Coturnix japonica: one gene and its partner. The protein of the gene in region 2 purifies or fractionates together with the protein of the main gene of each other region. This does not show direct contact. Links are inferred from orthologs where the notes say so. Each region holds a gene or a part of one and is shown on either strand. Other genes may lie near its edges.

Region 1 (3,909 bases), on a different chromosome or scaffold from region 2:
AAAATACACCTGCAACAGCAAGACGCCCAGTCTCGATAAGCACTACACACAAGCAGAGTGTGCTACTGAAAAAAAATCAAAAGTTTAAGGATAGCAAAAGCTGATGTTCTTTACATGAGAAGTAATGATGATTTTATCTAGAGCATTTCCATTGTTCACCTATCACAGGACAAGGGGCTTCCCAAAAAGCACCAGCTCAATGCAAACAACAAAGCATCCTGAGATTGTACAACACAACACCTCTGATATGGAAAGCTGCTCCCAGCTCACACAGGTCCATGTCTTTGCTCATTAACTCCACTTGCCAGCAGCATTTCTCAGCTTTCAAGCACACAGAAAAACAACATCCATATGAGTAAATAAAATCTACCTTGAGCCTCTGAACTAATCATTTCTGCCATCCACACCTTTGTTACATGCCCAAAGGGCACAGAAAAAAATGCTTCATGCTCCCCAAGAGTTTGTGCAAGGCCGAGGCAGGATCTCCTGCAACCTGCAGGGACAGCTTCCCTCCCCATAACAATTTTTCATGTTCCAGCTAAAAATGAGACACACTGCTCCAGCAGGCCAAAGTCCAAGGCAGGAAGATCAGAGTGCTCATATTATACCATAACCAAGGGAAATGAAGGAAAACCTTGGAGCTTTCTAAGATTATCTCACTTCAAGCACATAATGGGTCTAAAGAACTGATGATCATACAGTACACCCTGCAACACAGTTAAAACATAAGAATGCTGCCCTATTGACAGGTACTCAGCACTGCTGGTGCCTCCTCAAGGCAATCAAAGAAACATGGCACTGCAAAGGGAGGCAACAAAAAAATCTACCCCCAGCAGCACTGCTGCAGTTCCCATACAAAATATACAAGGATGGAAAGCTACAGCAGCCAAAAGCCTTTTCAAATACAAGAATCAAAGCAGTTCCTGCTGTGCTTGCTTTTCCCCCCCCCCAAGTATTCTACCTTAAGTCACAGCGAAGTGCCCTGCAGAAAGGCCAAAGCCAGAAATTGGATGAACTGAATTGCAAATGGCACAAATCCTCCTGCTCTGCCAGCCAGGAAACCCTGCAGGGATCTCCCTTGGAGAACCTGGTGAATACACACAACCTCACACTGCTTTCCAGGAAGCAGCAGAACAGGGAGCATCTCTCTGATCGTGGATCTGAATCCATGACTTCTTCACTAAGTTTTGAATATTGTGCCCCACAACAGACTTTAGTTAATGTATCTGATAAGGTAGTGGTAGGAACACTTCATCTTTCCTGACACTGCTGCTGTCAAGACATCACATACAGCTCCAGTAGAACTGCTATGAACAAACCATGCAGGACCCACTCAAAGGATGGCACTTCAAAAGACTTTAAACCTCAGGAACAACTCCCTGCAAACACTTCCTCTAATAACCCACGTGCAATGTATTACTTCAGTACTAAGCACTAATCGGCATCCCCGCATCGTAACCAAGTGCTTTGCTGAGCACTTTCTTCTTCCAAACAAAGATGTAAAAGCCAGACAGAAAAGACAACCCCAGAGTCACTGAGACCCAGAAGCGCTCACAGTTCCTGCAGGCTCAGACAGCTCCACACAGCAAAGAAATACAAGTCCCAGGGAGCTCTGGCTACAAATCCCTAAGAGCAGAGCACAGCTCAGGCTGTTCAGCTTCACCTCTTGCTCCTCAGCACGTGTGAGTGTCACACTGAGCAGGTCACTCACATATTGATTGTGTTGCATTCTTGAAAAGGATTATGAGGCTCCGAACACACTGACTGCCATACAGACAAGCATTTTAAATACAGCTGAGAAGACGAAATAGATGAGAAGCAGAATGCAATAATATAATCCCAGATGAGACAAATTAGAAACTTAGGAATCAGAACCCAATTAAACACCCAGCAAGCAGATCAGCACATCCATACGCTCTTCATATATTTATCCTTTAACACGGGGAGTTCTTTACTTTGAAGGAAAATAGGAAAGAGTAATAACCTCCTGTTCACAGTTAGTGTTGAACAGCAGAGATGCTGTCAGCTGGTTGTCTGTACCTGTTGAGCCCCAAGCAACCGGAGGAGCCCAGCACAGCCCAGCTCGCTGTCAGCCCTGGGATGGAGCACAGCAGCAGCTTCCAGATCCCACAGCAGGGCAATAGGAGGCACCGCACTGTTAGGGCTGAGGGGGGCGGAGGGGAACCTTCATTTCCAACTTCACCCCTCCCGCAGCCCCCACTTGGTTGCTGTTACACAACGCATACCTTGAATCGCTTTAAATAAATAAATAAATGACCAGGAAAAGAAACGACATTAAGGCAATAATGGTCGCTGTTGTTCGTTTTTAAAGCTATATCGTCTCTTAACACCGGAGCACAGCACGCAGTTACTCAGCTCTCCCGGTTCCTCCCGTTCCAGGTCGGGCAGGCACAGCCCGCAGCCAACAGCGCCGTGCGGGCACCGGGCCCAGCACCAACGCGGAAGCGCCGCCGCCTCGATCCGCGGGCAGTAACGAGGCTCCTGCCGGCAGCCCCGGGACGGGAGCGGAACCGCCGGCCCAAGGAGCGGAGCGGAGCGGACAGGCCGCGGGGGCAGCGCGGTGCCCTCAGCCCCGCCGACACCGCGGACACCCGCTACCGCGGGGCGGGGCTCACACAGCGGCCCAACCGCCCGCGGCTCCCGCAGGCCCCGAGCCGACACCCGCCCTCCCGCCCGGCCCGGCCTAGAGGCCGCGGTCACCGGCCCGACTCCCACCAGCCCGACTCGGCCCACCCGTTGCCCCGTACCTGCCCGTTGCCCTGCTGGGTCGCCGCCGTTGCCGCCCCGGCCCTGAGCTCGGCCCCGCGGCGGCCGCGATGGCGATGGCGGGCACACAGTTTGCGCGTCAGCACGATGCGAGCGGCGGGGCGGGAGGAGCGAGCGGCGAGCGCAGGCCTCGCGCTAGGCCTCATGGGAAACGCAGTTCGCGCCGAGGGCATATCTGCGCATGCGTTATGTCAGCGCTGCCGCAGAGCATCATGGGAGTTGTAGTACTGTGGCGCCACCCACACGCCTACAACCGGAAGTGAGCATCGCCACAGCCCTCCGGGTGAAAAGGGAAAGACTGTAGTCTCGCGAGGTTTCTCTCCTTCCCGGAAGGGCCGGAAGGGGGAGCGCTTGCTTCCGGTCGCACTGCTTGTGACGTCACCGCGCCGGAAGTGCCGCCATATTGGAAAGGAGGCCGCGAGTGGAGCTGAGTGGGGAGCGCTTTATTTGGCCGCCAGACAGCGGCGGGGGCGGGTCGGCGTTGGCCGCGGGTTGTGGTTGTGCCTACGGCCGACCCCTGCCCGTTGTGCTGCGGCCTTACACCGCGGTGCCCCGGGCCTTGCTCATCCTGGATATCTTCCACACTCTGGCGAGGTCGCAGGCAGCTCGCACGGCGTCGAAGATATTGGCCGCCAGGTCCTGCTTGCTGCCGCTGATCTCCCTCTTTAACGCCGCCATCTCCTGCTCTAGCAGCGCCGCCCGCTCATTGAAGCCTCGCTGCAGCATCTCACCGTGCTCCCTCAGCTTCGCTTCCAGCGCCCTGTCCAGCTCCCGCTGCGCATTGGCCGCCTCCTCCCTCATCTTGGCTTCCAGCGCCTGCAGGTTCTGTGCGTGGCTGCAGCGTTCGTCCTCCAGCAGCGCCTGCAGCTGCTGTTCACGCTCCGCTGCCGCCTTTTGCTGCTGCTCCATGAGCTGGGCCTGCTGCTTCTGGTCTGGGGGCGAAGGGACGGAGTGAGGGGCACGGAGGATAAAGCAGAGCCTTCAGCTTCTAGTTCGGGGAGGGGATGCAGGGATGTGGTGAGGATAAAGAGACAATTTGTGGTGTCTCCGGGGCACACTGGAGCACCCCAAGAGATGTGGGCCCTCTGTGAGATGTCCCCAGGATAGAATGGGACTCCTCAA
Region 2 (3,291 bases):
CCAGCCAAAACTTGAGAGGAGCTGAATGACCAGTACACTGCAGCCACTCACACGGGAAGCCAGAAGCAGACTCAGCCCCCCTTCATCACACACATCTAAAAAGCTTGGGTACATGAAGTCCACCTACACCTCCTGAAGCTGTCAGCTAAACACCAGGAGATGCTAGTACAGAAACCAGAACAGTCACTGCAAGGGTTCCCTTGAGATATAAGTGAAGACTTCATGTTTCAGGCTTACTCACTTAACATTTAACATCTTTCAATGGGAATTTTTTTGGCTAGTATTTCTGAGGGAGAAAGCTGACAATGAATCAGAAACCAAGGGACCTGACCCAAAGGCAGCTGGATGGGAGGCATTTAGATCCACCTCTTAGACTGAAAGCTGCTGTGCCTGCACTGCAGGAGGAGAGAAAAAGAGAGAATTTCCTTTTACAAGCGCACAGCAGGTCCTGGAGCCAAGGACTGAGAATGTGCAGATGGCAAAGAACTCCACAGCATTTAGTGGACGGCACGTGCATTGCACAAAGTAAATGCAGGACTGGAGTGCTGTCACAGCTGTCTGCTTCAACAGCCCCCCTTCCCGCTCCTGGAAAACCTTTATTTATTTATTTTTTACAACACTGACTGAAATAAAACACTTCAGTTTGTGAGACCCAGAGAAAGGAACCCAGCTGCCAACGATGGAGCAAAACTTCAAACCTCCTATTATCAGGCAGCAACGGTGTTTAGGCTCAGGACTCTGGGCTCAGTTACTGGCTTTGCCACAGATCCTTCCACACAAACTTGGACAAAGATGAAGCACTGACAGAACAGGAACAGTAATTCTCTGTTTCCCAGATGCGTCAGGGAGAGATTAGTCAGACCTTCTGATAACGTAGCATCAGGAATCAAGTAAAGGCTCGTGTGAACAAATGCTAAAGCAGTCTCAAAGCCAAGACTCTGAACTCTGACATTAAATCAGCATTTTTAATTTTTTCTAAAATGTGCTTTTTTCTTGTGAATTGCTGTTTCACTGCCGGCCCCATCCTCCCCCTTAGAAAAAAAACCCAACCCATTCCTCACCAAATCAGGTGCAAATCACCTGAAGTTAGACTGTAACATATAAAAAAAAAATAACCCACAAAACAAAGGCTGAAATGCTTCAGAATCACAACAATGTACAAAAAAAAAAAAAAAAAGAAATAAAAAAAAGAAGAAAATACAACCTGAAAGTGTTCAAGATTCAGAAAGACTAGTCAAGTCCATTGGTTCAGCAAGGGGATACTGCTGTGACCCCTGCCAGTGGGTCCTGGGCCACCAGCCTGCCACAATGCTAAAGGGGCTCTTCTCCCACGCAGACCACTGTCACTAGCACCCAAGGAAGAGCAAATGCATTACCCTCTGGAGGTATCAACGGGGGAACAACTCACAAGCAGCTCTGAGAGGTGACATCACATTCCAAAGGAGCACTGTTTTTACTGTGTCCCTAACCATCTGTAAGAAGGAAGGCTTGGAAGAGCAGCCTGCTTCCTCCTTTCTGTATTGAGGCCTCAGGGATGCAGACCAGTGCGTTAAATCTGCAAGAGATTGAAGGGCTTAGTAAGGGCAGTAAACAGACAGTTAAGTAAACAGCCCAGCACTGAATCTCATCCTCACAGAGCGAGGTAGCGTGAATTTTACCCCAGTTCAAAACAGACAGGGGTAGTGGAAAGGCTGAAAACTTCAATGTAAAGCAGTTCATGGCCTAGAAACCTTTCTGTGCTCCCTCTGGGAATGAAAAGATCTGTGTTGGTGGCTTCCTCACTCCCAGCCTGGCTTTATTAGCCACACTTCAGCCCTGGGATTCACTCTTGACACAGAAGTCATCCCAAGATCTGATTTAGTACAGCAGCTTCCTAAAGGTTAAGCAGCAATGAAACTGGCTGAGAGGGAGCAAAACTGTCCACAGATTTTTTTACTGCCCCATTGTGCCAGTCCCTCTCTTCAAAAGTCCCTCTTTAAAGGACCAGAACAGAGACACCCTCATTAACGAATAGGGGCTGCACAGTGTAACTTTGCCAGGTGCTGCATTCAAACAGGGCTTTTATTTGCCAGCCTGGAAGGGACTGGCCCAGAACCCACTGGAAAAGGAGACACAGGCCCTTTTTTGCTCCTCCTGCTGTCATTCCTAGCTGAATGACATTTGGATGGTATGTTCTAGTGACGGCTGGAGACCAGCCCTTTAACTTTGGACATCTTCTTTGTGGACTGCCTTTGTTCTGTGTGTGGAGGGCACTCTCGCTCTACCAGCTGCTGTTCCATCTCCTGTGCAGACGACGAGGCTGTAGCTTTTAATGTTTTCTTTATGTTTGTGACCTGGCCAAGAAGAGACAGTGAGTCAGCACCAGCTTCCTTCTCTCTTTGCATTAGAAACTCTGTTCATAAACATACTGAAAATCCCTTGGAGTGCAGACTGAAGTCTATCAAAAACTTTCCCAACAAAAACAGACTGCATTTGAGTCTTAAGGGGCAACGTTTTGTGCTCACTTAAAGCCAGCATTCTTGTAATCCATACTGGACTCAGACTGGAAATAACTAGAGATTACCTACTTCTTTTATGAGACAAAAATACAATACTATTCTATCTTCTTGGTTGGACAAAGGGAGCTACTACTGCCTTTCTGCAGAAGGCAGCCATCTTACCACTAGGCTGGCCAGAAGCAGCAGGGACAAAGTAGTCAGTGAGAAACAAACATATGCTTCCAGGAGCACTCAAAAAGAAAAAGGAAAAATGCCACTTGATCTGTCTGGCTGAGCCATGGATATTTGCTAGAAGCAGGAACATGAACTGGTCTGTGGGAGGGAAGAGTAGCGCTCCCACGACTCTGGCTGAAAAGGAGAGACAAAGCACCAGGCAACATACCTTGTCTCATAAAATTCTGTAGTGCTCACCAGTAATACAGTCAGCAAGCACTAAAAACAGAAAAGGAAAAAAAGGAGGAAAAAAAAGGCCCAAACAAGTTTGGGAGTCAGGTGCACCAACTCCAGGCTAAAGGCATCTGGCAAACCAAAAGCACTACGGATGCCAATCAAGCCGCCAAGCATGAACTGCTTCGGAAAGCAAACGTAAACCTGCAGGGATGCAGCACTATGCAAGAAATAAACCCTCAGCGAGTGTCTCAGGAGGACCATTTTCACCTTTACAGCTGTATTAGCCAAGATTTGTTCTCACTAGTAAATACACATCAGCCAGGGCTGACATTGTGTGCTCGTGCTGCCATCTATGGTCTAAGAAGAGGTACAGCCTACAGTGGGAGCGCGCCCAGTCCACACT

What was found.
Region 1: the proteins of COPS7B (region 2) and DCAF1 purify together in Homo sapiens (affinity purification with mass spectrometry; 3 studies listed by BioGRID, with this or other methods). This does not show direct contact. The link is inferred for Coturnix japonica from reciprocal best matches to the Homo sapiens genes COPS7B and DCAF1.

Annotation. Positions count from the first base shown.
Region 1 is NC_029527.1:1,257,725-1,261,633, forward strand, and holds the start of DCAF1 (DDB1- and CUL4-associated factor 1), read right to left. Parts: upstream 2,926-3,909; 5' UTR 2,769-2,925; intron 2,576-2,768; exon of another isoform or gene 2,247-2,575; intron 1-2,246. Other genes in the region: guanylate-binding protein 4-like, read right to left, coding at 3,325-3,719. UniProt on the Homo sapiens protein: Acts both as a substrate recognition component of E3 ubiquitin-protein ligase complexes and as an atypical serine/threonine-protein kinase, playing key roles in various processes such as cell cycle, telomerase regulation and histone modification.
Region 2 is NC_029524.1:13,414,851-13,418,141, reverse strand, and holds the end of COPS7B (COP9 signalosome complex subunit 7b), read right to left. Parts: intron 2,334-3,291; coding exon 2,175-2,333; 3' UTR 808-2,174; downstream 1-807. UniProt on the Homo sapiens protein: Component of the COP9 signalosome complex (CSN), a complex involved in various cellular and developmental processes.